Xenopus tropicalis: one gene and its partners. The protein of the gene in region 3 purifies or fractionates together with the protein of the main gene of each other region. This does not show direct contact. Links are inferred from orthologs where the notes say so. Each region holds a gene or a part of one and is shown on either strand. Other genes may lie near its edges. The genes, in order: bag5, dnajb1, dnajc7, stip1, bag2, vps13b and pld2.

What was found.
Region 1: the proteins of dnajc7 (region 3) and bag5 purify together in Homo sapiens (affinity purification with mass spectrometry; 4 studies listed by BioGRID and IntAct, with this or other methods). This does not show direct contact. The link is inferred for Xenopus tropicalis from reciprocal best matches to the Homo sapiens genes DNAJC7 and BAG5.
Region 2: the proteins of dnajc7 (region 3) and dnajb1 purify together in Homo sapiens (affinity purification with mass spectrometry; 3 studies listed by BioGRID and IntAct, with this or other methods). This does not show direct contact. The link is inferred for Xenopus tropicalis from reciprocal best matches to the Homo sapiens genes DNAJC7 and DNAJB1.
Region 4: the proteins of dnajc7 (region 3) and stip1 purify together in Homo sapiens (affinity purification with mass spectrometry; 4 studies listed by BioGRID and IntAct, with this or other methods). This does not show direct contact. The link is inferred for Xenopus tropicalis from reciprocal best matches to the Homo sapiens genes DNAJC7 and STIP1.
Region 5: the proteins of dnajc7 (region 3) and bag2 purify together in Homo sapiens (affinity purification with mass spectrometry; 7 studies listed by BioGRID and IntAct, with this or other methods). This does not show direct contact. The link is inferred for Xenopus tropicalis from reciprocal best matches to the Homo sapiens genes DNAJC7 and BAG2.
Region 6: the proteins of dnajc7 (region 3) and vps13b purify together in Homo sapiens (co-immunoprecipitation; 3 studies listed by BioGRID and IntAct, counting the BioPlex papers as one, with this or other methods). This does not show direct contact. The link is inferred for Xenopus tropicalis from reciprocal best matches to the Homo sapiens genes DNAJC7 and VPS13B.
Region 7: the proteins of dnajc7 (region 3) and pld2 purify together in Homo sapiens (affinity purification with mass spectrometry; 3 studies listed by BioGRID and IntAct, counting the BioPlex papers as one, with this or other methods). This does not show direct contact. The link is inferred for Xenopus tropicalis from reciprocal best matches to the Homo sapiens genes DNAJC7 and PLD2.

The regions. Positions count from the first base shown.
Region 1 is NC_030684.2:98,468,947-98,473,170, reverse strand, and holds bag5 (BAG family molecular chaperone regulator 5), read left to right. Parts: upstream 1-1,533; 5' UTR 1,534-1,567; coding exon 1,568-2,920; 3' UTR 2,921-3,222; downstream 3,223-4,224. UniProt on the Homo sapiens protein: Co-chaperone for HSP/HSP70 proteins. It functions as a nucleotide-exchange factor promoting the release of ADP from HSP70, thereby activating HSP70-mediated protein refolding.
Region 2 is NC_030679.2:134,724,100-134,728,973, reverse strand, and holds the start of dnajb1 (dnaJ homolog subfamily B member 1), read left to right. Parts: upstream 1-1,807; 5' UTR 1,808-1,854; intron 1,855-4,675; 5' UTR 4,676-4,708; coding exon 4,709-4,874. UniProt on the Homo sapiens protein: Interacts with HSP70 and can stimulate its ATPase activity. Stimulates the association between HSC70 and HIP. Negatively regulates heat shock-induced HSF1 transcriptional activity during the attenuation and recovery phase period of the heat shock response.
Region 3 is NC_030686.2:7,162,611-7,166,834, forward strand, and holds part of dnajc7 (dnaJ homolog subfamily C member 7), read left to right. Parts: intron 1-1,187; coding exon 1,188-1,306; intron 1,307-2,668; coding exon 2,669-2,822; intron 2,823-3,415; coding exon 3,416-3,580; intron 3,581-4,224. UniProt on the Homo sapiens protein: Acts as a co-chaperone regulating the molecular chaperones HSP70 and HSP90 in folding of steroid receptors, such as the glucocorticoid receptor and the progesterone receptor.
Region 4 is NC_030680.2:35,679,972-35,684,679, reverse strand, and holds the start of stip1 (stress-induced-phosphoprotein 1), read left to right. Parts: upstream 1-1,311; 5' UTR 1,312-1,317; coding exon 1,318-1,326; intron 1,327-3,664; coding exon 3,665-3,874; intron 3,875-3,971; coding exon 3,972-4,113; intron 4,114-4,201; coding exon 4,202-4,343; intron 4,344-4,708. UniProt on the Homo sapiens protein: Acts as a co-chaperone for HSP90AA1. Mediates the association of the molecular chaperones HSPA8/HSC70 and HSP90.
Region 5 is NC_030681.2:95,351,609-95,355,047, forward strand, and holds the end of bag2 (BAG family molecular chaperone regulator 2), read left to right. Parts: intron 1-2,017; coding exon 2,018-2,421; 3' UTR 2,422-2,558; downstream 2,559-3,439. UniProt on the Homo sapiens protein: Co-chaperone for HSP70 and HSC70 chaperone proteins. Acts as a nucleotide-exchange factor (NEF) promoting the release of ADP from the HSP70 and HSC70 proteins thereby triggering client/substrate protein release.
Region 6 is NC_030682.2:128,808,322-128,812,545, reverse strand, and holds part of vps13b (vacuolar protein sorting-associated protein 13B), read left to right. Parts: intron 1-1,891; coding exon 1,892-2,086; intron 2,087-3,014; coding exon 3,015-3,139; intron 3,140-4,224. UniProt on the Homo sapiens protein: Mediates the transfer of lipids between membranes at organelle contact sites. Binds phosphatidylinositol 3-phosphate. Functions as a tethering factor in the slow endocytic recycling pathway, to assist traffic between early and recycling endosomes.
Region 7 is NC_030679.2:148,026,090-148,030,251, forward strand, and holds the end of pld2 (phospholipase D2), read right to left. Parts: intron 2,501-4,162; coding exon 2,276-2,500; 3' UTR 772-2,275; downstream 1-771.

The DNA of each region.
Region 1 (4,224 bases), on a different chromosome or scaffold from region 3:
AGGGTATGGAACACAGAGGCAGCATAGGGTAGGCATAGTATGGCACATAGGCAGTATAGGGCAGGCAGAGTATGGCACACACAGACAGCATAAGGGAGGCAGAGTGCTGCCTGTGTATGCCATATGAATAAACAACAAAAAATTTAAATGGAATAAAAACCACAACATTTATTGGCTTAAATAAATACAACAAAAACTAACATATAAATCATACCAAAAAGGACAGGGGTATCCCAGTGCCTAATGCTACCCACTCTCCTAACGCGTTTCGCACCGTGTGGCGCTTCATCAGAGGAGGTCTGTGTATGCCATACTCTGCCTGCCCTATGCTGCCTGTGAGAGGTGAACCTGGCAGGGGTTTGTTCTGGGAGTTTGTTAGTAGTTGGAAACAGCCATTAAATGGTCCCTAAGGTGTGTAATTATGTTGCTGGGGGTTGCTGTGCTATCCACAGGGGAGGAGGAGGCATATGGATTTAAGGGTGTGTCTTAATATGACATAATATAATTCTTTCACATATGAATAACTGTTGATATCCCCGCAGTGAGGACCAAGCATTTGGGTTTTTGGTGCACTACCACCATTGTGATAAAATGGGTGTGGTTTGAAGTAGGTGTGGTTCAAAAAAAGGGGAGTGGCCAAAACTGGCTTCCATTAGCGGCCCTCCACCGTGTATGCTAAAGAAATTCCGGCCCTCGGCACCGCAGAAGTTGGACAGCACTGGTATAAACTTTGACTAACTAGCATTATCTTCCCTTTATGTTTCACACCAGATTCACTGGTGTGCTGTGTGCACTGGCCTCAAAATTTGTGTGAGCATGGAAAAGTGTAAGAGGGCATCATGGCCAGTACTTTCTGCTAAACGGGATTCAGTTTTCTACTTAATTTAGCTACATAGTTTCATACTTAAGTTCTATGCAGGAATTTTTGGAGATAGAGGAGGAGAAAGAAAAGTATAACTAGAACATTATTTTATTAAAAACAGTTTAAGAAAAATCCTTCCAGTTTTTAAGTGAAGTGCGTGGGGCATAGGTTTCAATTATATATATATATATATATATATATATATAGCATGTTGCAAGAAGACAGGCACTCACGTATAAGTAGGTCCAAGGGAGCCTGGGTGCAGTCCCAAAATAATAGATGGAGTAGCTGTAGAGAGAGTCCGCACTCACAGGTCTTAAGAAAATATAGAAGTTTTATTCAAATCAACATTATTCAAATCAGTATATATATATATATATATATATATATATATATATATATATACAGTATATATACATGGATGAAGAGATGGTTGTAAGCTCTTTTGGGCAGGGCCCTCTTCACCTCTTGTATCGGTTATTGATTGCTTTATATGTTACTCTGTATGTCCAATGTATGTAACCCACTTATTGTACAGCGCTGCGGAATATGTTGGCGCTTTATAAATAAATGTAATGTAATGTAATGGTTAGACAATACCTGTTTTTTGTTTAAATAAACATGTCTTAGGAATGGCATCTTTACCTTTTTGTTTTTGGTTTTTTTTTTAGCACCAGTATCTTCTAAGAAATTGCTGTATTGAGTATGGATATGGGTAATCAACATGCTTCAGTCACAGCTCTTCAAGAAATACAGAAGAAGGTCAAAGAGATTGAACAACAAGTGGTGACATTTAGTGGTCTAAAGAGTGACCCAACTTATAAAAAGCTTGAAAAAGATTTAACTAAACAGTTATTTGAAATAGAATCTATTGAGACAGAGGGAAAAGGAAACATTCTACAAGCCCAAAAGAAAGCTACTGAAGAGACAGAAAGAGTTTTAAAGGAACTGGAGCAGAATGCAACCCATCCTTGCAGACTTGAGATCGAAAAGATCTTTAGTGAAACTCAGAGTTTGGTAGCGCTACATACTACACAATTTAGTGGGGAAGGTCAGAGAACAGATGAATTTGAGGAAGGAATTCAGAATATTTTGAAAAGACTTACTCAAGTAAAAACCGAGGGAAAGATCCCTCTAAGAAAAGCTAGGTACCGAACTTTAACTAAAGTTCTTGCCATTCAAGAAATTTTAGAAAGCTCTTCTAAACAACAAGTACTTTCTCTCCCTCTCTCTGCTGAGGCACATCCAACAGTTTCTAAAATTAACTCAATTATGTGTGATGTGAACAAAGCCAGATGCAGTCTCATAGCTCTTCTAGCTGGCGTCAATGACAATGAAACATACAGGCATTTATCTTGCACTCTTACTGGATTAATTGCAAACCTGGATGCTCTGGATGTTTCTGGCCACACAGACATAAGAGAGTATCGCAAAGAAGTTGTTAAGGAAATCAACAGTTTGCTGAAATATTTGGATTTAGAGGATGAAGCTGAGTTGGGAAGTGCTTATGACTTGGGCCAAAACCAGTCAATTGTAAAAATAGAAGAGATTCGCAAAGAAGCAGCAAAAATAAAGAACAGTCTTTTAGAAGTGCAGCAGCATATGTCTGACATCTATATGGGTACAAAGTCAGAGCTGCAGGGCCTCATAGCTAGCTTGGATGAAGTTAGTGTAGGGAGGAATCCTTGCATTCGTGAAGCTAGAAGACGAGCTGTAGTTGAGGTCCAAACTGTCATCACCTACATTGATCTAAAAGAAGCTCTCGAAAAGCGCCAGAGTTTACCAGAACACACAGTCTCAGAGCCTCCATGTTATATAGCTGTATGGACTGTCTTTGGACATTTATCTGAACTTCAAAAGGAAGTCCTCTTCTTTGATGGGAAGAGAGCTGATAAAAATTATATGAGATTAGAAGAATTTATTACTAAACAATTGCTGGCTCTTGATGCCATTGATTCACAGGATGGCCGTACAAAGGCTGCAAGAAAACAAGCTGTGAAGCTTGCAAATAATATCCTTGGATATCTTGATATGAAAACTGATGAATGGGAATACTAAAAAAAACACTGCTTTCGCTTTGCTTGCACTTTAAATATGGCTGTAAAGATGTCTCAGTTTCATCCTTGCATTATCATTGCAAGATAGGGTTTTTACTAAGCCAATTATCTGTCATAAAACAAAGCTTCAGTCAAAAGCTAGCCAGTTTTTGTTTTCATGTACCAATGGCGAAAAATTATAGAATGTTTAATGCTAAATATCCCAGTTTGACTTTATCAAGTGGAACAATAAGTGGCATATTTCTAGTTGTATCTCTCTTCTCATTTTTGTGCTGATTCTTAAATAAAAGTTCTGTCTTTTTTGATGGGGGTACAACATTGTCATTGTTATGTACACAAGTGAATAGTATGTACATTTTTAATTATATTGTTCAGTGTAAAAAGGCTGCTGCGTTTAAGGTATCTAATTACAAAATAGACATTGCAGCACATGCAGAATTAAAAGATGTAGTTCAGCTTGATTTCTGTTAATTCCTATGGGATTTTTAGAAGTGTGTTTATCAAATGATGAACTCTAACTTTTACCCAGTAATAAACAGAAATTAAGGGTGAATGTGGGTTTTCATGTATTAAGCTCTAAACTCATTTTTTAATAAATCAGCACCATTGTGTCATTATATATTTAGAGAATGTGCTTCACAAACCAAAATGTGCATCTCGTAATTCTGTACAGACAGCGAAAACATTCTTAAAGCATAGCACATGCTATTCAAAATGGGCAAAAAATTCAAATTGAATAAGGTTTTTTTTTAAAAAAAGATATACAAAAATTCACATTTTATCGCATTAAATCTTGCACAAGCTCTTGGCCAAAAAAATTAAAAGAATACAACATTAATTTCAAATATGATAATACAGGTATGGGATCTATTATCTAGAAACCTGTTATCCAGAAAGCTCCAAATTATCTCCCATAAACTTGAACATGATTTGCTTTTTCTCTGTACTAATTGTACAGACTGTACTTGATCGTAACTAAGATATAATTAATTCTTATTGGAGGCAAAACAATCCCATTGGGTTTATTTAATGTTTAAATTATTTTTTAGTAGACTTTGGAGACTTTGGAGATCCAAATGACAGAAAGAACCTATATCTAGAAAACTCCAGGTCCCGCGCGTCCTGGGTAACAGGTACCATTCATGGGTATACTTACACAGATTTGTAGCTTATAACCTCCCCAGAACAGAAATGTCATGTAATGTTTTTTACGTCTACATTTTTTAGGTCCCAAAAATAAAACCTGATTTTTACATATTTGCATTTTTTTGTGGGAGGGGACTGGCATTGTTACATCCATGACTC
Region 2 (4,874 bases), on a different chromosome or scaffold from region 3:
ATAGGGCAGAGCCCTCTACACTCAGATTACAGTTATTAGGCTACCCCCTATAGGTTTAGCCAGGTTGACCACTCCCCTTGGCAGACTATATAGTGTCTTGCACAAGGAAGTGTCTTCCTCTTTGGCTGCTGTTGTCCTAAGGCTGCATGTCACTGAGCCTGAGGCAATTAGGCCCCAGTAAAGAGAACCAGCCATTTGTAAGTCGGGGACAGGGCCCCGTGAATGAGAACTAGCCAGCACAGTCAGTTATATAATAGCACCCTCTAGGAGTGGTGAGCATAGTCAGCTTATTTAGTAAGGGCAGCGCTAGCCCCATCAAAGGAGACTGTAAGGGTTTAGTCTAACCCAGGCTCTGTATGCCTTGCTGTAGGGACCACAGTTAAGACGCAGGATTCAGGCAGTTCCTCACCCTGAACCATAGTTGGCTGGAGGGGATCTGTTCCAGTAAAGGGCATCCATTCCTGGTATACAGCTAATACTCTGCATATCCTTTCAAGTGGGTTATACTGTTCCTTAAGGGTCACATCTGCTGTTATCCTCTGTGACCATTCAATCTGCTGTGTCTGTGAGTATAATCCCTGCGGCACTATTAAGTTGTGCCTTGTCCAATAAACTATTCTATTCTATCTGCACCACATAAGCTCTATCTAGTTGTAGTACAACTACACCCTCAGCTCCATTAGTACCTCCCATATAGCGGAGGCCCACTCCTGTGCATTAAGGTCGCATGTAACACATGCTCTATACCTATCACTAGCCTGGGTTTGGTCCTTAAATAGGCCAAATAGGTGTTACATATAGTATAAAAATGATGACAGTATCTCTTTAACTATCATTTTCCTCCCTAGAATAACCTAAACAAGGAGTGCCACAAAGCTCCTACTTCCTAATGGAAGTATCACACCCTACAGGGATATACCGTAGGTGCTGTGCCAGGCAGGGAGTGCCCAGCCAGGTGTGCTTGTTACACTAAAAAGCTTCAAAAAGGCCCAGGTTACATAGCAGAAAACAGATAATCTGTGCAGATTCCCATTGTATTTTATAGAGATTATATATTATCTGCTATGTAACCTGTGCCTTTTTTTCTATCTCTAATGGCCGCCCCTATGGCTACACAGCAGCTTTGTTTATATAAACTATAGGGGCAAAGACACATGGGGCGATTAGTTGCCGCGACTTTTTAGTATAATCCCTGCGGCACTATTAAGTTGTGCCTTGTCCAATAAACTTGTACTATAGTTCATGAGAAAGAACCTTTCTGGCGTCCATTATTCTATCTGCACCACATAAGCTCTATCTAGTTGTAGTACAACTACACCCTCAGCTCCATTAGTACCTCCCATATAGCGGAGGCCCACTCCTGTGCATTAAGGTCGCATGTAACACATGCTCTATACCTATCACTAGCCTGGGTTTGGTCCTTAAATAGGCCAAATAGGTGTTACATATAGTATAAAAATGATGACAGTATCTCTTTAACTATCATTTTCCTCCCTAGAATAACCTAAACAAGGAGTGCCACAAAGCTGCTGTGCTTCTGGGAAATGGATGTATGTTTACTAATAACCAGCTGGGCAGGTACCCAGTCAGGATAAGCAGCCCTGAGAATCAGTAGGCGTGGCTCTCACGGAAAAGCGATGCCTGACTGAGTCGCCTCTCCGCCAATCCTCTGCATGGGGGCGTGACCCTAATAATGTTTCCAGTGTCTGATTGGTCAGCTTGAGGGGGGGCGGACAGGCGACGTTGCCAGAGTACGGAAGAAAGATCTGGAAGGTTCTGGAGGTGGAGCTGCACCTACAAGAGAGGGGCCGAGAGTTGACAGGAGGAGCATACGGACAAGCGATTGGTGCTAAGGTACGTACTGCGGGACGGGATGGGGTATTGCTCTGTCTGTGGCTTCTGGCACATCTGTGCGTATAGCGCTGCCGGGCTGTTTGGGGATGTTCCATTTGCTGATGGGCAATAGGGGTGCCACTGATCGTTAGATAATGAGAAAGGAACAGAATGTGTCTGCATAGGGGATAATGGTGTGTCTGTTGTTAGGGGCCCTTCTGCCTTCTGTCAGTTACTCTCATAATTCTCCTAATATGAGGCAGTTACAGTAAAATCGGGACCAGTAATTCCCGGGTATACCTGCATATCTATAGGCTTAGGGAATGGGGCAGCTCATTGTTGTTTGGGGGGGGGAGTCTATATACCTGAATCAACCCATAATAACTAACTGGGGGGTACTCAAGGGGCAGCTGTACTTGGGTAGTGTAGTACAGGTATGGGATCCCTTATCTGGAAACCCGTTATGCAGAAAGATCCAAATTATGGAAAGCCTGTCTCCCATAGACTCCGTTATAATCAAACAATTCAGAATTTTAAAACTGATTCCCTTTTCTCTGTAATAATAAAACAGTACCTGTACTTGATCCCAACTAAGTTATAATTACCCCTTATTGGGGGCAGAACAGCCCTATTGGGTTTATTTAATGGTTAAATGATTCCCTTTTCTCTGTAATAATAAAACAGTACCTGTACTTGATCCCAACTAAGATATAATTACCCCTTATTGGGGGCAGAACAGCCCTATTGGGTTTATTTAATGGTTAAATGATTCCCTTTTCTCTGTAATAATAAAACAGTACCTGTACTTGATCCCAACTAAGATATAATTACCCCTTATTGGGGCAGAACAGCCCTATTAGGTTTATTTAATGGTTAAATGATTCCCTTTTCTCTGTAATAATAAAACAGTACCTGTACTTGATCCCAACTAAGATATAATTACCCCTTATTGGAGGCAAAACAATCCTATTGGGTTTAAAAAAATGTTTTATTGATTATTTAGTAGACTTAAGGTATAAAGATCCAAATTACGGAAAGACCCCATATCCGGAATACCCTTGGTCCTGAACATTCTGGATAATGGGTCCTATACCTGTACTGCTCAGCAGGGAGCCCATTGGCATTATTTCATTTGGGAAACTTGTGTAATACTATTATGTACTGGCCCCAAATAGTGGGATGAGCTGGTCTCCTTACTCTCTGTACAGCCCTGGAGTAACCTGTCACAATACCCTTTTTTGGCTGCTTACCCCTCTCAGCATCACTGCCAGAGGGGTATGGAGATCAAAGCTCAGCAACAATTGGATGGAAATCCCTGCATAGCCATAAATAATGTTTATATGTGAAGGGCCTGAGTGCTGGGGGCATAGCAGGATTGACAGAAAGCAAAATCAGCATTAATTGGTAGAAATATGGGCCCCACCCTAATGGAAGTATCACACCCTACAGGGATATACCGTAGGTGCTGTGCCAGGCAGGGAGTGCCCAGCCAGGTGTGCTTGTTACACTAAAAAGCTTCAAAAAGGCCCAGGTTACATAGCAGAAAACAGATAATCTGTGCAGATTCCCATTGTATTTTATAGAGATTATATATTATCTGCTATGTAACCTGTGCCTTTTTTTCTATCTCTAATGGCCGCCCCTATGGCTACACAGCAGCTTTGTTTATATAAACTATAGGGGCAAAGACACATGGGGCGATTAGTTGCCGCGACTTTTTAGTCATGGCAACTAATCTGCTTAGCGAAACCTCGTGAGTGATTAGTCACAGCGACTGCTATTCTATCCTATAGCAGAAGAGCTACTGCGATTAGTTGCCGCGACTGACTTAATTAAAAGTTGCGGCGACTAATCGCCCCGTGTGTCTTTCTAAACAAACACACAACTTTTACCTGCGCAGGGCAACAGTATATTATACTTTCATTACTTTTCAGTTGGTCTTCATTATTTATAGTTTTTGAATTATTTGCCTTCTTCTTCTTCTAACTCCTTGCAGCTTTTAAACGGGGGGGTCACTGACCCCGGCAGCCAACAAAAACTATTGCTCTGTGAAACTACAGTTTAATTGTTATTGTTACTTTTTAGTGCTTATTGTTCTCTTCCAAGTCCTCTCCTATTCATATATCAGTCTTTCATTTAAACAACACCATGGTTGCTTAGGTAATTTGGAGGCTAGAGACCAGATTGCTGCTGAAACTCCAAACGGGAGAGCTGCTGAACAAAAACTGAAATGATTAAAAAACTACAAATAATAAAAAAAAAATGCAGACCAACTGCAAATTGTCTCGGAAAATTACTCTCTTCATCATATTAAAAGTTAACTCAGCCTTGAACAACCCCTTTGTAACACTTTCATTTTTGTGGTGTTATTGCTACTGTGGGCACCCTTAGGGCCAAAGCACACAGAGCTACTTAGTAGCAGCTACTTGTCATGGCTACTAAACACCAGAAAATTAAATTCCTTGCCATAGACAATACTAAGAAATTGCCTCTGCTAAAATTCACGTAGAGACAATTATCAGTAAATGATCAGCATTGTCTATATTTGTAGCCACAACAAGAAGCTTTGTGTGTCTTAGCCCTTACTAGTAAGTTGCTAGTCTTGTACCACAACCCTGCAAGAAGAATCATGTAAATATAAGTATGTGGTTGCTATGGGTTACTGGCTAGGTATTTCCTATGTACCTGCATAACCCTGTTATTGTGCATTTCTGAAAATTGTGCGTCGTGTCAAGGATGTGTTTCCTTCTTTTACTTTCACTTTATTGGGCTTTTAGTTCTTGCTTTTAAGTTTGGTTTGCATGCAATGGCTGACCGATGTATATTACCTTTTTGCCTGCAGGTATCTTCATAGGGTAATAGAATACCTGCCAACATGGGGAAGGATTACTACAAAATCCTTGGAATCCCCAAAGGAGCGACGGAGGAAGAGATTAAGAAGGCGTACAGAAAGCAAGCTCTTAAATATCACCCAGATAAGAACAAGGACCCGGGAGCTGAGGATCGATTCAAAGAGATTGCGGAGGCCTACGATGTGCTCA
Region 3 (4,224 bases):
TACTGTACAGCGCTGGGTACATAAGTAGCGTTTTATAAATAAAGATATACATACATACAATTATCCTAGGTCCAGTATGCTACTCTATTCCTCTGGGAGCCACACTCTTTAAACACTGCTTCTCTAGGACCCATAAATTACCTGCTTCTCTAGAGCCAATAAATTTACCTGCTTCTCTAGAGCCAATAAATTTACCTGCTTCTCTAGGACCCATAAATTACCTGCTTCTCTAGAACCCATAAATTTACCTGCTTCTCTAGAGCCAATAAATTTACCTGCTTCTCTAGGACCCATAAATTACCTGCTTCTCTAGAACCCATAAATTTACCTGCTTCTCTAGAGCCAATAAATTACCTGCTTCTCTAGAGCCCTCACTCTGGTTGAGGGAAAACAAAACTGTTGTGGCCAGGAAATGCTTAGTGATGTAATTTCTGCCACATGACTTGCTAAAACTTGTCTATTATAATAAATAAAGTACCCCCTGTTGTAAAATATAAGGATAGTAGAAGTCACCTCGGAGTTCCATGACCTGTAAAAAATGCACTCTGCATAAGGCCTCGTCCCTTATTATGGTCATGGAACTCCTCGGGGACATATAATATCCCTATATGTTACAATAGGGGGTACTTTATTCACTATATATTATAAGGAACTCCTCGGGGACTTATAATATCCCTATATGTTACAATAGGGGGTACTTTATTCACTATATATTATAAGGAACTCCTCGGGGACTTATAATATCCCTATATGTTACAATAGGGGGTACTTTATTCACTATATATTATAAGGAACTCCACGGGGGCTTATAATATCCCTACATTATACAATAGGGGGTACTTTATTCACTATATATTATAAGGAACCCCTCTGTGACTTATAATATCCCTATATTATACAGTAGGGGGTACTTTATTCACTATATATTATAAGGAACCCCTCTGTGACTTATAATATCCCTATATATTACAGTAGGGGGTACTTTATACACTATATATAATACTGTGCCTATAGTAAAGCAAATCTAGAGAGTCAACTCCTAATTCACAGCTGATATAAGAAAAGATTACTAATTATTGTATGCAAATCAATACAGTATTACAATTGTGTAATTAACCAAGGAATGGCTTGCCTTTAGTATTTGTTGCATTTTCGTTATTTTACTATATTTGTGCTCAATACGACAGGTTGTGTTCTGCATGGATCGGTCATTAGAGCTGGCCCCTGCTTGCCATCGCTTCAAAATCCTCAAGGCAGAATGTCTAGCACTTCTTGGTCGCTACCCAGATGCTCAGTCTGTGGCCAGGTAGGAATACGACTTGTTGGAGAGATTAGGGATGATTTGACTAATGGTCCCCATACACGGGCTGATCCGCTCACTTGGCGATGTCGCCAAGCAAGCAGATATTCTCCCGATATCCCCCACCTACGGGTGCGTGATATCGGGAGAATCCAGGCTAATTCAATCATTTGGCCCTGAACAACGGGTATAGGCAAACTTGGTTCGGGGAACACATCAATGAGCCAATGCGGTCCCCGATCCGACTAGATTTTCTAACCTGCCCGATCGAGATCTGGGCGATTGGAGGCCAGATATCGGTCGGGCAGTCCTGTCGTTAGTGCCCCTACACGGGCCGATAAGCTGCCGAATCTGTCTAAGGGACCCATATCTGCAGCTACAATCGGCCCGTGTATGGGGGGCTTTACACAAGTGATAAATTGCCCCAGTCACTATCGCTATCTAGCTTGCAGTCACGTGATCAGAACTGGTGTCAATTTACTCCTGTGTAAGTAAATCTTCTCCATTAAATTTATCTGTTATCAAGAGTGGCAGCAGTACAATATGATTGCAGGTTAAAGGGGGGGGGTTCCACTTTTCATTCATTTTTAATATAATGTAAAGAGTAATATTCAGAGTCAATTTGCAATTGGTCTTCATTTTTTTATTTGTAGTGTTTTTGGTTATTTCATTTACAGTTCTGCAGCTCTCCAGATTGGAGTTTCAGCAGCTTTTTGGTTGCTAGGGTCCAAGTTACCTTAGCAACCAGGGAGTGGCTAGGATGAGAGTATATGAATAGGAGAGGGCCTGAATAGTAAAAAAAAAAAGTAACAATAAAAAACTGAAGCCTCGCAGAGCAATAGTTGTTTGGGTGCTGGGGTCGGTGATCCCTGTTTAAAAACTTCAAAGTTGGTGGCAAATAATCGAACTGCTCTCCTAAATCCCGAGGGTTTGGGTGTATTCCCCCTACACCCCTACAGAAGATCTAAAGCGTTTGCGTTTAGCGAACCTCACTTGTCGCTAGCACAGCCCCTCCATCCTTCCCTGCCATGTCCCAGAATCCACTATTTTCAGATTCGGCCGAATGTTTTGTGGCTTTTGTCACTCCTCTTAAATGCTTTTTCAGAAGAATTGTGCCTCACTAGGGCTCATTAATATTTGGCTATTACAAGGCACGTATAGGTCCGTTTCAATAAGTAATTGAATACGTATTTAAGCTGAAGAATCCGTACAAAATTAAATAGAAGCTTGCTATCGTTGCTTTGGGTATGTCATTGTTTTGTATTTGTGGGCTTAATGTGCTTGAACAAGACTTGTTATTTGTGGGTCTTCATTAATTCCCTTTATTTTGTGTTTAGTTCTTATCTGACCCCCGCTTTCTCCCCTCAGTGATATCCTAAGGATGGATGCCACAAATGCAGATGCTCTATATGTTCGGGGGCTCTGTCTTTACTATGAAGATTGCATTGAAAAAGCTGTGCAGTTCTTTGTGCAGGCCTTGAAAATGGCCCCTGATCATCAGAAAGCCCGTCTAGCCTGTAGGGTAAGTTTACAGAGTAAGCCGTGGTTACAGATAAATATATAATATGGCTTTTGGTTTTTCTTTCTGATCCTTAAGTGATAGAAACATGCAGACAAGGAGAGAGAGTTGGGTTGAACAGCATACAGAGGGTGTTAGGTGGGACCCTGGAGAACAGAAACTAAATAAAACGAGAAAATTAAAAACTGGAAAGCAGCCTGGGCCCTCCAGTTCCATCCCACACAATTTATTCTCAGTGAGAAATTATTATTCTATATATATATATTTTTTTAAATATATTTTATACAACAATAACTGCTATTAATCTCCTACTTGTTGGGATCCAGATAAGTGTCAGCCTGTGCTTCTGCTGAGCCTATAGATCCATGTCCAGAGACTGCTTTCCCTTTAGGGTGAAGACACACTGGGCTACTAGTAGCAGCTACTAAATTCCGGAAAATCCCCTGCCGTAGACAAAACTGAGAATTGCTTAGAATTGTTAGGGGTTTTTGTATTAAAATGTATTCACTTGTTTTTCTCTGGCATTAAATGCAGATATAATATGGTTTTTTAATTTCTTTTAGATGTGTAACAAAGGGTCTCTACTTCTTTTTCAGAATGCCAAGGCTCTGAAGGCTAAGAAAGAGGAAGGCAACCAAGCGTTTAAAGATGGCAACTATGACCTTGCTCACAGACTTTACTCAGAGGCACTCTGCATAGACCCCAATAATATCAAAACGAATGCAAAACTGTACTGTAACCGTGGCACTGTCAATGCAAAGGCGAGCATTTTACTTACCGCTTTATGTGCTCATTTTCTATCAACTAATACCAGGCAATGGTTTATCTGGGATCATTACTGCCCGGCAGCCACTGTGTATGGACCCTTTCAGAGAGTCTGCCATTGTCCCGAAGTGACATGGGCTTTACTCCCCTTAAGCTCTGCTCCTGCCGGGATGGGCCAAATTATGAGGAAACAGAAAAAGTCATTTTTTTTCATATGAAATATTGTTGTGGGGCAAGAATCAACTGATAAGTGGCAGCAAGGGAACTTTCAAATGATCTTCAGTGTGGGCAGCAAAGGGGGATTTTATAGTGTTGTCATTGGTTGTATGAGTAGAAAATGCCAACCCTGATATAGATATATATAGATATGGATGGATATATAGATATAGATGGATATATAGATATAGATGGATATATAGATATAGATGGATATATAGATATAGATGGATATATAGATATAGATGGATATATAATATATATAGAACCCACCAACATTTATAGCTTAAGAATATTTTAAGAGCACAGAAGGATAACTAAAGTGTTTGAGTAGTTATGATCAGTGTGTGTGTGGCTTAATGGGGTAGATCACCTTTAACTTTTAGTATGTTATAGAATGGCCTATCCTAAGCAACTTTTCAAT
Region 4 (4,708 bases), on a different chromosome or scaffold from region 3:
TGGAGGAGCCAAATAAGGGCTAAGATTGGCTATTAGGCAGCCTCTATGCACACTATCAGCTTACAGGGGGCTTTATTTGGTAGTAAATCTTGACTTTATTCAACCAAAACTTGCCACAAAGTCAGGAATTCAAAAATAACTCCCTGGTTTGGGGGCACTGAGAGCAACATCCAAGGGGTTGGTGAGCAACATGTTGTCCCTGAGCCACTGGTTGGGGATCACTGTACTTGAGCGTCTAGTCAGGGTACTGGCCTATTAATTCAGTTACCTTCCTTGCACACCTAGGGGTACATTTACTAATCCACGAACGTCCGAAAAGCGTCCGAATGTGTTTTTTTCGTAATGATTGGTATTTTGCGACTTTTTCGTGAATTGTCGCAAATTTTTCGAGCGCTCAATACGAAAAAGTTGCGACAATTTGCGAAATTCGTAATGGCTATGAAAAAGTCGCGACAATTCACGAAAGTCATAATGGCTATGAAAAAGTCTCGACAATTCACGAAATTTGTAATGGCTATGAAAAAGTTGCGACAATTCACGCAAGTCATAATGGTTATAAAAAAGTCGCTACAATTTACGAAAAAGTCGTAATGGCGACGAAAAAAATCGCAAAAATACGAAAAAGTCGCAAAATGTTCATTTTCCAATCCGAATTTTTCTCATTCGGATTCGTGGATTAGTAAATCAGCCCCCTAGTGTGCTCACAATTCACTAGTACTTCTTCTTGGGGTTCTGATGATCCTGGAATCTGAGCCACAAGATACAACATAGTGAAAAAAGGTATTCACAAAGGGATTCAGAACCTTTTCAGTACTGCTGACCATGGAGGTTATTATGTATAAATGAAATTCCCTGCTAGGGCCAAGAAAAGTAAGTATAAGAAATGTGAGAGATGTATTGGTAGTGTCCCTGCAGCTCTGTACAACCGAACACATTGTTGGTTGGAAGTGACATCACTTTTCCTCAATGAAACAAGTGGGGTCTTAAAACCAATCAGAACTCTAGGCCCTCGTAGCAACCAATTGGCGTAGTAGAAGCTTCCAGAATCCTCCAGCCAATTTCTCCCCAAGCGTGAGCTTACAGCCAGCCAATCGGCTTTAGAAGTAGTGAATGGGCGGGATAAAACAAGGACAAGGAAGTCTTGCTGGGAGAGTCAGCAAGGGGCGTGGGTACGTGATGGATAACAGCATTGACCTGTCAGCGAAGGGAGCTTAAAATGTTCGCCCAATAGTTGCACACTCGGTAGGCGGGAATTGAACTGTCATCGTTTAGTAGGTTCGAGAAGACGCGTGGGGAGGTCGGAATCAGAGGGTTGCAATGGAGGCGGTAAGTGGCAAATTGTTAGTTAAGAGTGATGGGGATATTATAAATGCTAACCCACACACTTGCTCCGCGTTATGGGACAAGTAAGCTTTCCATAGTTGCGGGGAATTTATACTTGTGGGTCAGTCATTAAGTCATGGAGTGAGGGTCTGGGCTATGTGGGATAGCTGTTCTTCCTTTCAGACGATTGGTAACTGCCCTCAATAGCATTCAGTGCAAGAGTAGTTGCAGAACTGCAGCTTCCAGCCGTACTGGCATTGTGGCGTCAGGAGTTATTTTTCTGCCAGTCTCTGCCATCTCATGCCACGTCTGTCAGTTTCTCCAATAGGGGCAATAGCTCACCCTTGTTTCTAGTTTCCATGCTTCTCCTTGGGATTTACGCCTGTAAAACCATCAGCCTGCAGACTGCACTGGTTTCTGTATAGCCATATGGTAGGCAACTTAGCTAATCAACCCTACTCTTATTTATTCTAAAGGTTTACTGTGTATTGTTCACCTAATAAAATTGTCATTATTTGGAACTCCCTCCACCAGCTACTGGTGATCTCTGGTGTAGTAAGAAGTTCATGGGTCCCACAGCAAAATAATTTTTTGGTTACCCTAAAATTTAGAAATAAGACTTTTGCATTGTGATGGGACATTGAATAGTTTCTGATGGGACACAGATATTGAAGGAAAACGTTTAAAAATCTGGATTAATCTGGATTTATGCTATTGTATGTGTACGTCTACATCTTTGAATAAAAGTTTTTACTGAGGCAATTATATTGGCATAGTCATCTGGGAAATCTGTAAGAGAGAATCCCAAGTATTATTAAAGAGGAAGGGTGGGTTCTGTAGAAATGAACTACAGTTCTTAAGACGGCTATAAACTTAAAGGTATTGACAGTAAGTACACGACTTAGTACAAATTCCCTCCCAGTCCTTGTGTCCAAGTAGCATTTAGAAGAGACATGTTTGTACCATGGCTATTGGACATTTTATAGACTGGACAGGTTTAACCATTTTGGTCGGTTTGGCCCAAAGAAACAAATTTCCAGTTGTGTGTAGTCAGAAGATAACCATAGAACAGCAATGGCAAAGGACGATGTACCAACTTTACATGCTTGGCCAGCCTGCCATCTGATCTTTCCTATGAACTTTCACATTTGCAATATATACATCTTCATATTAATAGTTTGTCATTTTATATACAGATGCAGTGGCAGGGTGCACAGATGCAAGTCAGTGTTATTGTTACTTTGCACTCTGTCCCTCCATCAGCACATGTAGGTGCAAGTAAGGACCTGACCATGACTTCAGCACTGCCTGCATTCAGTGTGAGGTAGTTAAGAGAGCAAATATGCCTCAGATGCAGGTGCACCCAAACCATTATTAAATGAGCCCCAGTATTTTGGCCTCTTTGTCTACAAGTGTTATGGAGAGGGATTCACAGTATGCAGCTTGATAATTTTTATGTTACATTTAGTTGGTTTCCTGGAAAAGAAAGTAGCGCTGGCACAGCTGGGCATAAGTAGGGTAATTGAATTGGAGTCCTTTCTCTTACCTATTCCTCTTAGGCAAGGGGCATATGGGGTGTTTTGCTTGATGTTGTCATCTAGTGAACAACAGCAGCATTCAAAATACCCCTGTCTGCCTATCGCAGCTCATTGTTCAGAGCAGTGACAGGTAGAAGGGCAATTAGCCTGCTGCTGTTTTATCTCTGTATGGCAGTAGTGTATAAAATGGCCGTGGGCCACAAGTTTTAGGCTAATGGTACACAGGGCTGGGAATCCCCTGATGTGGGAATTATAGCTACAAAAATGTCTGTAGAACATTAACCTGTGCTATAACAGAAATATATCATGCATATTTTATTATTATTTATGTTTGTCACCAGTTCCTTTCTACTGAACTGAACCTTTATTTTCTTATGCATGTTGCAGGATTAGGCAAAAAAAGAATTTTTTTATTTATTTATTTTTTTTATAGGTACACAGGGATCCAGATATTTTTTATGTATTATGTATATATCTCTTATTTTTATATTCAACCTGCAGTTGAGCATGTTATTATTTGTACTATTTGAGCCAAGGGTGCCTAGCAAGGCATAGTTTGAGGCAATGACATGTTTAAATTCTGCTTTCCCCTTCCCTTCAATTTTCTTTTCAGCCCACGCTGCCCAAAGTGAGTCAGAGTGGGGGTGGCAGCAATTTAGTTCCAGGCACCAGTGGCGCAAGAGTTAATTAAGCAGCAGTGGAAGGCATAGAGATTTGATATCTTTGTACATACTTTCATTATAACAAATGACATATCGTTATGTATATGTTTCAAAATTGTTGTCCCTGTTCTTTCCCATCAGGCAAACGCACTGAAAGAGAAAGGAAACAAAGCACTTTCAGCAGGGGATCTGGATGAAGCAGTCAAATGCTACACCGAAGCCATCAAACTTGACCCTAAAAATCACGTCCTGTACAGCAATCGTTCTGCAGCCTTTGCCAAAAAGAAAGAGTTCACCAAAGCACTGGAAGATGGCGGCAAAACCGTGGAGCTGAAACCAGACTGGGGGAAGGTGGGAGCTGTAGAGCTAAGCATATGTAGTGACCTGTAAACCTGTTGGTAATAATTTGTGTATATCTATAAGTGTCTTATTGTTATCTTTCTATTAGGGTTACTCTAGGAAAGCAGCAGCTTTAGAATTTCTGAATCGTTTTGAAGAAGCAAAGAAAACTTATGAAGAGGGGCTGAGGCACGAGCCAGCAAATGCACAGCTGAAAGAAGGGCTGCAAAATATGGAGGCCAGGCTGGCAGGTACTATAACATTTTCTGTTTCTTCCATAAGATGAAGAAGCCAGACAGTGTTCCCACTGATCCCTCTGTTTTCCCCACTCCTCTTCAGAGAGAAAATTCATGAATCCCTTCAACTCTCCAAACTTATACCAAAAACTGGAGTCTGATCCTCGTACCCGTGCGTTGCTGAGTGACCCCAGTTACAAAGAACTGATTGAACAGTTGAAAAACAAACCATCTGATCTTGGCACGTAAGTTGAGAACAGTTTCTCAGAACGTCATTCTCATTGTTGTGGAACCATCAGTTTAACCATATGTGTTGTATACTTTAGGGCTAACATAGGTTTTTAGCAGTAGCAGTGCAGTAAACCATAGCAGTCAATTAGCTTTGACTAATCTAGTGTAAGCTAGATGAGCATTTCTCGCTCTTTTGCTGTCAAGACCTTATTTATTTTATCATAGCCAGCAGACCTTATCCAAAGTGTGGCTAGTGACCTAACATCACCAATGCCTCTGTTAGGGCAGTGTCACATGGGGAGATTAGTCACCTGTGATAAATCTTCACTATTGCGTGCTACTAATCTCCCCAACATGCCATCCCACCGGCAAGAATGTA
Region 5 (3,439 bases), on a different chromosome or scaffold from region 3:
ATTGACACATGATTTTTTTAAAAGCACGATCATCAATAATATCAACATAAATATGGGGGCCAATAGAGAGCGGGGATAACCCGATAGTGAAAAACAAAATACTCAAACCATCTCCCATTGTGGGAAAGTTAGAGAAGTGAATAATATACTATATATCAGAGTCAGAGTCCACGAGGAGCAATAGTATCCAACCTTCGAATCCATTGAGCCTCCCTTTGTAGTAGTAGTTTAGAAATCACCACCACGCAATAAAGGGGGAATATGATCAATCAAACTAGCCCTTAACATGGGCAACGAATGTTTCTGTTGTGTAAAGTGCCTTGCAAGTGGAATATCAGACTTACCAGTAGCCAAAGCCGCACGGATCACTGATCTGTGATTGTTCATTTGTGTGGGGAAAGATGTAACACATTTTCCTATATAGTAAAAGCCACACGGGCACATAATGCAATAGATGACATGATCCAAGGTACAAGTCAATCTATGCCGTATCAAGAATTTTTTCCCAGTGTGGGGCAGAGCAAATGTAGTGCCTGTGATTAAACAGCCACACGTTTTGCAACCACCGCATTTGAAACATACAGGTTTACCAGGTTTCAGCCACGTTCCAGATGATTCATGTTTCAAATCAGTCACCATCAGCAAGTCTCTAAGCGAGCAACCCCGGCGATACGCATACACTGGAGGAGACATATGGGTAAATGGTAGACCAGAGTCTAACTGCAAAATGGGCCAATGCTTTTTAAGTATCATATTAACACCGTAACTCCCTGGTGTATAGTCAGTAATAAACACCATCCGATCTAGTTGTGTCTTGTTTAGTGAAGCTTTTGGTAAGTCATCCTGTGTCATCTTGATCGCCTTCTCCATTTCACTGTGGAGGAAATCCAAAGAGTATCCCCTCTCGACATAACGGTCACACATCTCATAGGCTTGCTGTGATGCAGTTGCAAAGTCAGTATTAATCCTAAACACTCTCAGGAATTGCGTGTAAGGAATGGACTTAATCACAGATGGAGGATGGAAACTATGGGCATGGAGTACTGTATTTCAATGTCTCTTTACGATACAAAGTAGTACCCACTCCCATAGGTGTACGAAAAATCCTAACATCCAAAAAATCAATCATATCTTTAGCATAATTCGAAGTAAATTTTACAGGAGTAGGAAGAGTATTAAGACTGGCAACGACCGTTTTGACTCCAATGTGGCCCCCACGCCATAGAATCAAGATATCGTCAATATTTCTACAGTATAACAATACATTGTCCATATAGTGAGGATAGATAAATTCAGACTCAAATGAGTCCATATATAAATTGGCGTATGAGGGGGCCACATTAGAGCTCATCGCCATGCCAGTCTATTGTAAATAAAAAAGACCCAGCATTTCTCTCACAATATCTATATATCTATACCCCCTCCATTCACCAGCACATTTTCCTGTAACAAATAGCAGCTTTCACCCAGCAGCTACTTTCGCTCTCACAAATCTTCAGTGACATTTACATCTGCAAACAGCACATGGGTGCTATAAAAATGCAGACTTACAAAGGTAGAACTTCCTGTGGTAAAAAGTCCTGTTTGGATTGGGCACTGTAATGGGTAAACTGAGCTCAGGAAAGGAGGTTAGAAGAAAAATGTGTCTCCAGCAGAGTGCAGAGCTAGAGCCGAGTTTCTCTGGAAATCCAGCTGTGCCATCTCCTCATTGGCTGCTAGACTGGAGGGTGTGTTTGGTAACCTGAGTTGAGAAAAACTGAGCATGCTCAGTAAGCCAAGAGCCAAAGTCAGTTCCTAAGTGAGGGGGCCAAGTGGGTTACAGGAGTGAATAAATTCCAAGTAAAGGGATGCATCAGCCTTACAATTAACCTTTGAACAATCGTAATAGCGGGTATTTAATGATTTCAAAGAGACTGTTCACTGATTACATTTTTTGTCGGGGTTGTACATTTCCTTTAAGCTCTAAAAAATCCTATGAAATTCTTAAATCTTTGTATATTTTGCCTTTTGTTTAAAGGGGAGAGAGAAGAACTACTTGTAACAGCTGAACGTCTAATGGGCCGCACCCTTACTGTTGCAGTAGCTGTAGAAACCATTAGAAACCCCCAACAGGAATCCTCTCTACAACAGGCCAGCATGATTATTGATGAAATTTTGAAAAAAGTCATGGACAACCTGGAAAATGGCAGGAAACAGTTAATGGGACTGTATGGAGCTTGTAGCTCGGAAGTTCCAGCAGGACCAGTAGACCAGAAGTTTCAGTCCATAATTATTGGATGTGCAATAGAGGACCAAAAAAGAATAAAAAGAAGGCTGGAGACCCTTATCCGGAATATAGACAACTCGGAGAAGTCAATCACGTTGCTTGAGCAGCAGAGGCAGAAATCTGCTTTTAGTTTGATTCACACCAAGAACCTGTAAATCTCCGGACTGACCCTCTACTTTTTCTTTTGCAAGGATATTGCAAGAACTGCAAACAGGAAGATAGACATTTAAATGGTATAAATCTACTGATACCATATTTAAATTCACCTTTAATTAAATGTTCACATATCATTCGTCCTGGGTTTGTGTTGAATTGCAACAGATATAGTTTTAAATACCTATAGTTCTATACGGCAGTTTACTAACAAATTGATCGATTATCTCATTTTACTAAATAACAAATACTGCTGTGCACAAAATGTTATTCAGTATAACTTAACCTGGGTCAAATCTGCTTTGAAGACTGGGCCAAAATCACTCCTTAACAAGTGCAAGTGCTTTGAAATACAAATAACAGAGATAAGAGAAAGATCCAAGGGTCTGGATAATTTTTGGAATGCACTGTATGTTTCTGTTGTCTTAAGATTTTAAGAACAAGCTAGTGCCAGTGAAAAGTTCCAGTAACGGTTTGGCACAGGTAATGCATTTAAAAAAAGAAGCAGGGGCATATAATTGATAAATCAAAATTCCTGGAGCTACAGAGGCCATTTTCAAAGGTTTAATTTAGGAACTAGAACAAAATATATCCCCTTCAGAATTTTGCAACTTAAGGCGGCTATACACTGTCTGACCTCCGGTGCTATCTGACTGATTGGCTTTTGGCCAGAATAGACAGATACATTAGTGAAGTTACACAGTGCAAACTATCAGAACTGCAGTGGCTATGGCTTCTCTTTACTTCTCATCCTCTGCTGCACCTACAGAAGGTCAGGAAAAGCGGGTAACCTGCAGGTTGTGGGTCTTACCTATATTTCTTATTTTATATTATTATGTTGGGTTGAAAACCGAACATACTGTTCTTCGAATTCAGCGTATTCTTCCGCTTTTTCTTCTTCTTCTTTGTGCCCCTTATTTTCTAAACGCTACTCCTCCTACAGTTTTAGGGGTACAACACTAAATCTCTCCACACTTCTTCGCCCTATAGCGGAGCAGGTTGCTTGTGGTTTTCTAAGCA
Region 6 (4,224 bases), on a different chromosome or scaffold from region 3:
AGTAATACAGAATACACAGAAAAGATTTCTGATCTTGCAATGGATTTTGCTTTGTGTTCATTAATAAACAAAGTAGAAGAATATGATTATGTTTGGGTGCATTTTATAGACGGATAGAGTATACAAAACACTTCCAAAACAATAACAATAGGGATGCAGGATTCAGTTTGGGATTTGGCCAAGATTCTGCATTTTTCAGCAAAAAGCCTTAAAATCATGTGACTTTTTATCACATAAACACAGAAGTTCTCTTTAACCCTTCCCTATGCTAGGATTTGGAATCGGTTTGGTATTCAGCCGAATCTCTCCTAAAGGAGGTCACCAAATAAGCAGATCATATGACGTATGGCTAGAACAGTCAGAAGTAATAGAAATTAAATTGAGTGCATATTTGGCTTAAATCCCAGTTGGCTGAAGAGCAGTGAAGATCAGTGTTGGTTCTGGGGCCATGTTGGATTACTTGATAAGCGGAGCAAACTGTCTGTAGTATCTTTTGGAGGCAAGTGTGATATGGATAAGAAAATGTTGCCCATGTCAGTACAATAATCAGGAAAATTATCTTTCTACTAATCTTTAAATCACCTCAGTATTATTTACACGTTATGACTGGAAAATATGTTGCATTTAATTAAGACGCATGAAATTTCCAAACAATTAACTAGTTGATTACATTTTTCCCATTCTTAAATTCACTTTCAGCTACTTTGCTCCCTTCCCCTTTTGATCTTTTGCAAGCAGAACAAATTATCTCTGGTAGAAAAACCATTACTTGATTTGTGGGCACAACTATAAAGGTAAATTCCTGCAAGCTTAATCTGGGATTTTATACATTTAACAGTCATAAATTGCAGTTTGGCCTACAAAAAAAATTTATCTAATCAGCCACGATAAGGGAAGTATTTACCATTCAGGATCATAATTAATTTTAAATTCTTTCACTTCACTTAACTCAGCTGAGGCCAATAACAATATATTTCTGCCCAGATGGCCTGTAGCTCCTGAGAGAAACACAAACTACATGGTGCTGGGGTGCTGCAATGCAGACACAGACTTCTTTTACTTCTGGGAATTGAACGTGGTGGAGGACATCTTCACAAAGGGAGCCCTGCATAGCATTCTGTTGTGTTGTTTTATTGATACAAGGCTGTAACTATCTTCACTAGAGCAGTGAGCTGACATAGCCTGCATTCAAATTGCCAGGCACCTAGATTCTTCAGGCTGAAGTGCCAAAGTCACCACCATATATGTGGTCTCATAGTAGTATGAGCAGCTGGTTGCATGTCCATATCAATTTATTGCTGCTGTTTGCTTGTTTGGCAGGATTGGGCATTCAGCTTATAATCACGTGCACACAACACTCATTTATATGTACGCACGGCTACTAAACGACGGGAAATATCCTGTCATAGACAATACAGAAAATTGCCTCTGCTAAAACACAGGTAGAGACAATTATCAGCATTGTCTATTTTAGTAGTTGTGACAAGTAGCTGCTACTAGTAGCTCCATGTGTCTTCACCCTTAGTCTGTTCTGTACAGAACAAATGAAATGTAGGCACACTTCAGCCCCAGCTGGGGCAGCTAGCTTTTCCCATGGAAGTTTTGAGCGTGTTACAGGCCCTTTAATTATGCACAGTTTCCTTACCTGCTGCCATGTGATATATAAATATTTGACAGATTTTTTTTATTGCCGCAGATTTTGTGTTCAGCCAAGGAATGTAAACTGTTATTCTGACATTGATTTTATTTGGCAATGTGGGATATGAAGGTTGCACTTAACATTTTCCTATGTAGTTGTCATTGTTAATAAAAGTCTCCCATTTAGGTAGATGTGTCTTACCCATGCAGAATGAAACTAAAGTAAATTATTTTTATTTCTCTTTCTCTTCAGCATGCCAGCCCTGCCACGTTAAACACAAGTTTTCAGCCAATACGGCCCCTGCCTGCCATCAAAATACTCGCTGACAAAATCAATTTTGAACATTCAGTGCCAATGTATGCAGAACAGCTTGTACAAACTGTAAGCAGCCTCAGCCAGCCGTCGGATAACCTGCTGCACCACTGCTATGCACATTGCTATCTGAAGGTATGTAACATTGACTGGTTTATATACACATATATATGTTTGCGTGCTTGTGTCTATACCGCAGACACATATACAAAAAAATTAGCATCTTTGCGTTAAGTTGGTACTTTGCAGAGAGTTTACGAAGATTAAAACTTTTTATTTTCTAGCAATAATAAGAATTCATATAAAATCCCTAATGACTTTCTAGTGCCGCAAATTTTATCACATTTATTAATATTTTCCTGACAGTTAGGAAAGTGTTTTAACGAATTGGCACATTCGTTGAAGAAATGTGCCAATTTTTCAGAATTGTATCTTTCAAGCTATAACACTTGATACAATTGCTACAACCCAGAAAAAAAGTTAAGCATTGGGCACATTTTAGTGCAATGCAAATCTATAAGGGGCTTGCCAAATCAGTACAAATCATTTTCCATAGGCTACAATTGGCTTGTAAATCTGAAGCTAGCTTGTCTCATCAGAATTGCCTCTGTGGCTTTAAATAGTAACAGTGTCATGGAAGTATGACCACTTTTTTTATTGGTGGGTATGTGGAAATCCTCAGCAATATGGCAGCTGAAATAGGCTGAATTTACAGGCCAAATCTGTGCATGCATGGCAGGCATAAAGGAGAACTAAAGCCTAACCAAAGAAGTATGGCAGAAATGTTGAACATTTTTGTTTTTGCTTCTGTTCTCAAGAGAGAGAGGGATTATTGATTCGGGATAAAATCTAATTTTCATGCTAGCTTCAGGAAGTAAATGTTGGCACCCCATCTTTATAAATTGGTTAAAAACTCATAATTTTTTGGTTCTGTCTCTTCCTGTATTTTATTTCTTTAAATATAATAATCTGATAATGATGCTAACCCCCCAAATTTTTGCAGTTCACAAATGTTTGAAGTACTATATTTGTGCATCTTGGCATCAGTTTCTGTGTTTTTCAGGTCTTTGGCTTTCAAGCTGGACTGATATCTATAGACAGCAAAGGGCTTTGTTCATCCCATGTGCCAGTGATCCCCTCCTTCAGCACAGCACTCTATGGCAAACTTCTTAGGCTCCCTCAATATTGGTAAGTCTAATATAGAACCCACCAACACAGTATGGCTCAGGCTCGGACTGGCAATCTGTGGATTCTGGCAAAGGCCAGAGAGCCTGCTAAGATGCCACAGATAATCACTATTTATTGGACATGTGTGGGTTTGTTAGGGCCTCTATGTACTTGCAATGCCAGGGACTATTTTGAGTGCCAGTCCAGGCCAGGTGTGGCTGAAGCTTAAATAAAAAAAAAAGAGGCAGTATGGTGGTGAGAGGTCTTGCACTGCTTGGGTCCCAAATATGATTCTCTAATTTCCTTTCTTTTCTCCCACAAACATACAAGCTCCTGATAAAAATTGCCCATAGTGTGTGTATGTGATAGGGACATATAGAAATAAGTGGTATAGGATCCACAAATAATTCTAATTTTTACTGTTGATCTTTTTCTCTTTAAAACAGTTGCTTGTACTTAACTACGCTGCATAAATCCATATCGGTGGCAAAACAATCCTATTGGTTTTTTTTCATGTACATATGATATTTAGTAGATTTAAGGAAGGTTGAAACTCTTGAAAGAGCCCATAACTGGAACTCCGAGGTTCTACGCTTGCCGGAAAATAGATTCTTTACCTGTATTATTATCTCTGCATAGAATGGAACTCTCAATTTTCTGTGACAAAAACATTAAAACTGCCTACTGCATTGTGAAACACAGGGGATATTTATCATTAAGCCTGTAATTATTTCCTGATTGGGGATTTATTTTTCACAAGGGATATATTAAATCATGATATGAACTTTGGTCATGTCGTAAAATTTGCTGTGATAATAGACCACTGCTTTTGCTTAACCCTAAGGGCTCTGGCACACGGGGAGATTAGTCGCCCGCGGCAAAACTCCCTGTTCGCGGGCGACTAATCTCCCCGAGTTGCCTACCCCTGCCATCCCACCAGCGAACATGTAAGTCGCCGGCGGGATGGCAGACGCGGCGGGGCGATTTCAGGAAATCGCCGAAAAAGACTCGTATCTCAAGTCCATCCCTGGACTTGAGATACAGATGCTATCAAACCCCAATGAGATCTGCACTGACATGCATACTGTTGCATTTACAGTATGGGT
Region 7 (4,162 bases), on a different chromosome or scaffold from region 3:
GTAGGTTCGGTACTCAGCAAATCTTTTGTAGAGTATCCAGTACTCAAAAATGATGGACTAAATTGCCATTGGTTGGAGAAGGGTATCGAATCATTTCGAAAACAGTAGCATTTTGATATAAATTCTCTCATTTAAGGTTGTTTTGTTTGGTAGTTCTGCATGTTTTTTAGAACAAAATAATAAATTCTGAAAGTTGAATTTATCCTTATTCGGCCAAATCCAGGCTTTTTTTAAAGATTCAGTTTCGGCCGAATTGAATCTGAATTAGCATAAATTTGCATATGCTAATTAGCATCAGGAAAGGGTTAAATGGTCAGGTGAAAAAAAATTTCAACGCGCGTAACCCCTTCCGATCCTAATTACCGTATATTAATTAGAATTCGGTTCGGGATTCGCCCAAATCCATCGAGTGGGTTCGGCCAAACCCTAAAAAGTTGGTTCCTAGCTTCTATGGGCAGATATACAGTAAAAACATTCAAATCTGACTTTTTACTGCAATTTTTACTTTTTAAAATTGTGAATTCGAATTTCCGAAAAACTGAATATTCAAGATTTCTTAGGAGCAAAAACCTAAATAAAAAAAAATCGCAGTCTAAAAGCTGGTGAGTTCATGTAAAAGCCAATGGGAGACGTCTTTTCAAAATTCCGTTCGAGTTGTTTTTTTAGTGATCGAGATTTGCGCACATTTGGGATATTAGAGTTTTTTTCTCATTTGGAAAAATGTTAAAATTCGATTTTTTTGAATTTAGAAAAAAAAGGAAAACAACGACATAAAAAGAAGTACAAAGTTTATTGACTACAAAGGTTCCCCTGTTTGTTTTGTTTTCCCCCCGGAGAGAGTGGTGCAAACCCCGTGCAGTAGCAGCCGGAGCCCCTACCATGGAAGACAAAATGAACTCTATATACTTGCATAGTCCATAAATAAAATGATCATGCAGCGCTGAAACGAGCGGACAATGCTACGCGCATGGTTCTGCAATAGAACAGTATTAGTGTATAGCGCCTATCAACGAGTACAGGATGTGCCACGTACGTTGTGGGTGCAGAACAGCACACAATGCTTTGGACGAATCCGAGGCCCTGGTTGAACCAAATTCAACCCTAGTGATCACATGACTTCTTAAACGATTATGTGATTTTGCTTGTGTGTTGAATTCAGTATTCGGCTAAATCTTAAAATGGTTGAATTGTGCATATCTACAACTGGTATTAGTACAGGATACAGTCTATGTAGAGTTAATATTAGTAGAGCTGGGGTTAGTACGTTATATGGAGTGTGTAGAGCCGGGAATAATACAGGATAGTGTGCGTAGGACTGGGATTAGGAACAGATACTGTGTAGGACTGGGAGTAGCACAGGATACTGTGTGTAGGGCTGGGAGTAGCACAGGATACTGTGTGTAGGGCTGGGAGTAGCACAGGATACTGTGTGTAGGGCTGGGAGTAGCACAGGATACTGTGTGTAGGGCTGGGAGTAGCACAGGATACTGTGTGTAGGGCTGGCAGTAGCACAGGGTACTGTGTGTAGGGCTGGGAGTAGCACAAGATACTGTGAGTAGGACTGGGATTGGGACAGGATACTGTGAAAAGGACTGGGAGTAGCACAGGATACTGTATGTAGGACTGGGAGTAGCACAAGATACTGTGTGTAGGACTGGGAGTAGCACAAGATACTGTGAGTAGGACTGGGAGTAGCACAAGATACCGTGAGTAGGACTGGGATTAGGACAGGATATGGTGTATGGGACTGGGATTATGACAGGATACTGTGAGTAGGACTGGGATTAGGACAGGATACTGTAAGTAGGACTGGGATTAGGACAGGATACTGTGAGTAGGACTGGGATTAGGACCGGATACTTTAAGTAGGACTGGGATTAGGACAGGATACTGTGAGTAGGACTGGGATTGGGACAGGATACTGTGAGTAGGACTGGGATTAGGACAGGATACTGCATATGTAGAGCTGGAATTAGTGCAGAATAGTTTGCATGTTGCACTGTAATTAGCAAAGGATATTGTGTGAGTAAAACTGGGATTAATACAGGATACTGTGTGTGTGGGACTGGGATTAATACAGGGTGTGTATCAGGGATTAGTGGCAGACAGTAACGGACATGGTGGCAATCAGTGGAGTATCTGAGAGCTGTAAAGGCTAGTGCAATACTCTGTGCAGTTTAGCGAGTAACATGGGTGCTGCTCTTGTTACTAGTCCAGCACCCTAAGGTGAGTCTAAAGAACAAAGTGCATTAGTCCAAGGTGCCGTGCCCAGGGCTCACGTCCAAACCTGAGAGGATATCAGGCCCTCCTTGCTGCTTAGAGGGGGAAGGAGATTCTCCCCAGACAGGAACTGTAGGGGGCATTCCACCAGGTGGCCCCTAATGCCAGTTAGTTGCTCCCGAGCTAGGCCAGGGTTTAGCGCTGCCAGGTTCTTTACGGCAGTGTACTCCTGCAGGGTACGGTTACTGGTCACGGCGTCGGCGGGGAGGCACCGGAACATCTAGTTGAGGAAAAGCCACAAAAGGAAATTAGGCAGTTCCAGAAGAGGAGCTTGTCTTTATCTTATCATTTTACTGGCCCACAGCTTGCATAACGGGATCCTTATAGGCCAATGGAATAACTCTGAGGGAGCACACAGCTCATCGCAAAATGGCGGCTCAAGGGAAAAGATGCTAAAGGGCAATATTTACTGATATATATATTCCAGTTTGGGGAGATTCTTTAATAGGCCACTTAACATAATATAAACTCTCTGTTGGTTACGTATTCATTCTGGGGGTATAGTTTTCCTTTAAATTGCCTCAATCTCGTAATAAGAATAAGAGAGGAGACCACCCAAACCAAGAATGCTCAATGTTATGAAACTCAACGCAACTTCAAGCCTTCTTAGCCAAGACACAACCTCTACAGCTATAGCAACTGCAAGGTTGCCATCCAACAGCCCAAGAACCTGACAAATTCTATTGTATACATTACACATCTATAGCTACACACGTCGACTCACAACTAAACCACTTTTTAGACACCATACCAGTTCCAGTTATATTATCATTTTTGTATTGCCAAATTTCAAAAGAAGAGATTGTCACCACCACTGGTTCCTTACTATCGAACAAAACACCTGGCTCTTATTGCCTACCCTCACACTGGTATAAGACCCTAACCCAGTGATCCCCAACCAGTGGCTCTGGGGCAACATATTGCTCACCACCCCCTTTGATGTTGCTCCCAAAGTAGGTGCCCATTTTAAAATTTCTAGCTTGGGGGCAAATTTTGGAAGCCCAGAGACTCAGTTTTCCTCCAAGCAGAGCCTCTTGCAGGCCAGCAGCCCACATGGGGCTACCCAATAGCCAATCACAGCCCTTATTTGACTTTTCAAAATAACTTTTTTTCATGCTTGCGTGGCTCTCACCCACACTTTTTACATCTGAGTGTGGCTCACAAGTACAAAAGGTTGGGGATCCCTGCCCTAACCAAACATATCTCTCCGAAACCCTCCAGCAAACACAGGATACTCTGTTGTTACCAACATCTGTCTCCATACCGTTAATAAGTCGCTATCATCTCTCAAATTCTAGCCAGTAGACTGCAGCAATTGGTGCAAGATATAATTCACCCTGACCAATCTGGATTTATGTCTGGCTGCTCATCAAACATCTTTGCAGACTATTCATCAACCTACACTTGTTCCTCAGAAAAAAAAAGCTCTAGAAATGTGCTCTCAATTCTCTAATTCGTTGGAATGGAGTCACCTCTAGGAAGACCTAGTGAACGGAACTACTTCTCCGTTTTCCCTTACCAGAGGAATAAGACAGGGTTACCCTCTGTCCCTGTACCCTTTGCCAGCGCATTATACCCATTAGCCACACAAATAAGACACATTAAAGGTCTGACATATGGCACTGCACTTAAAAAAGTATCCTGATATCCCTGAAGGCTTGGAGAATATTAACAGCATCATATAAAATGGAGGTTTAGCATTTCCAAGTCTCCATAATCATTACTTGGCATCACAATTGTACTATATATATAATCCTGCTTCCACCCAAATCCCTACAATTAAAACGTACTTCATCGTGCCCTGAGGATGGAATCAGTTGAGAGCTTATCCAATGTCCCATATCATTAACTTGTGGATTTACCAAAACTTTGCTCTATTAAT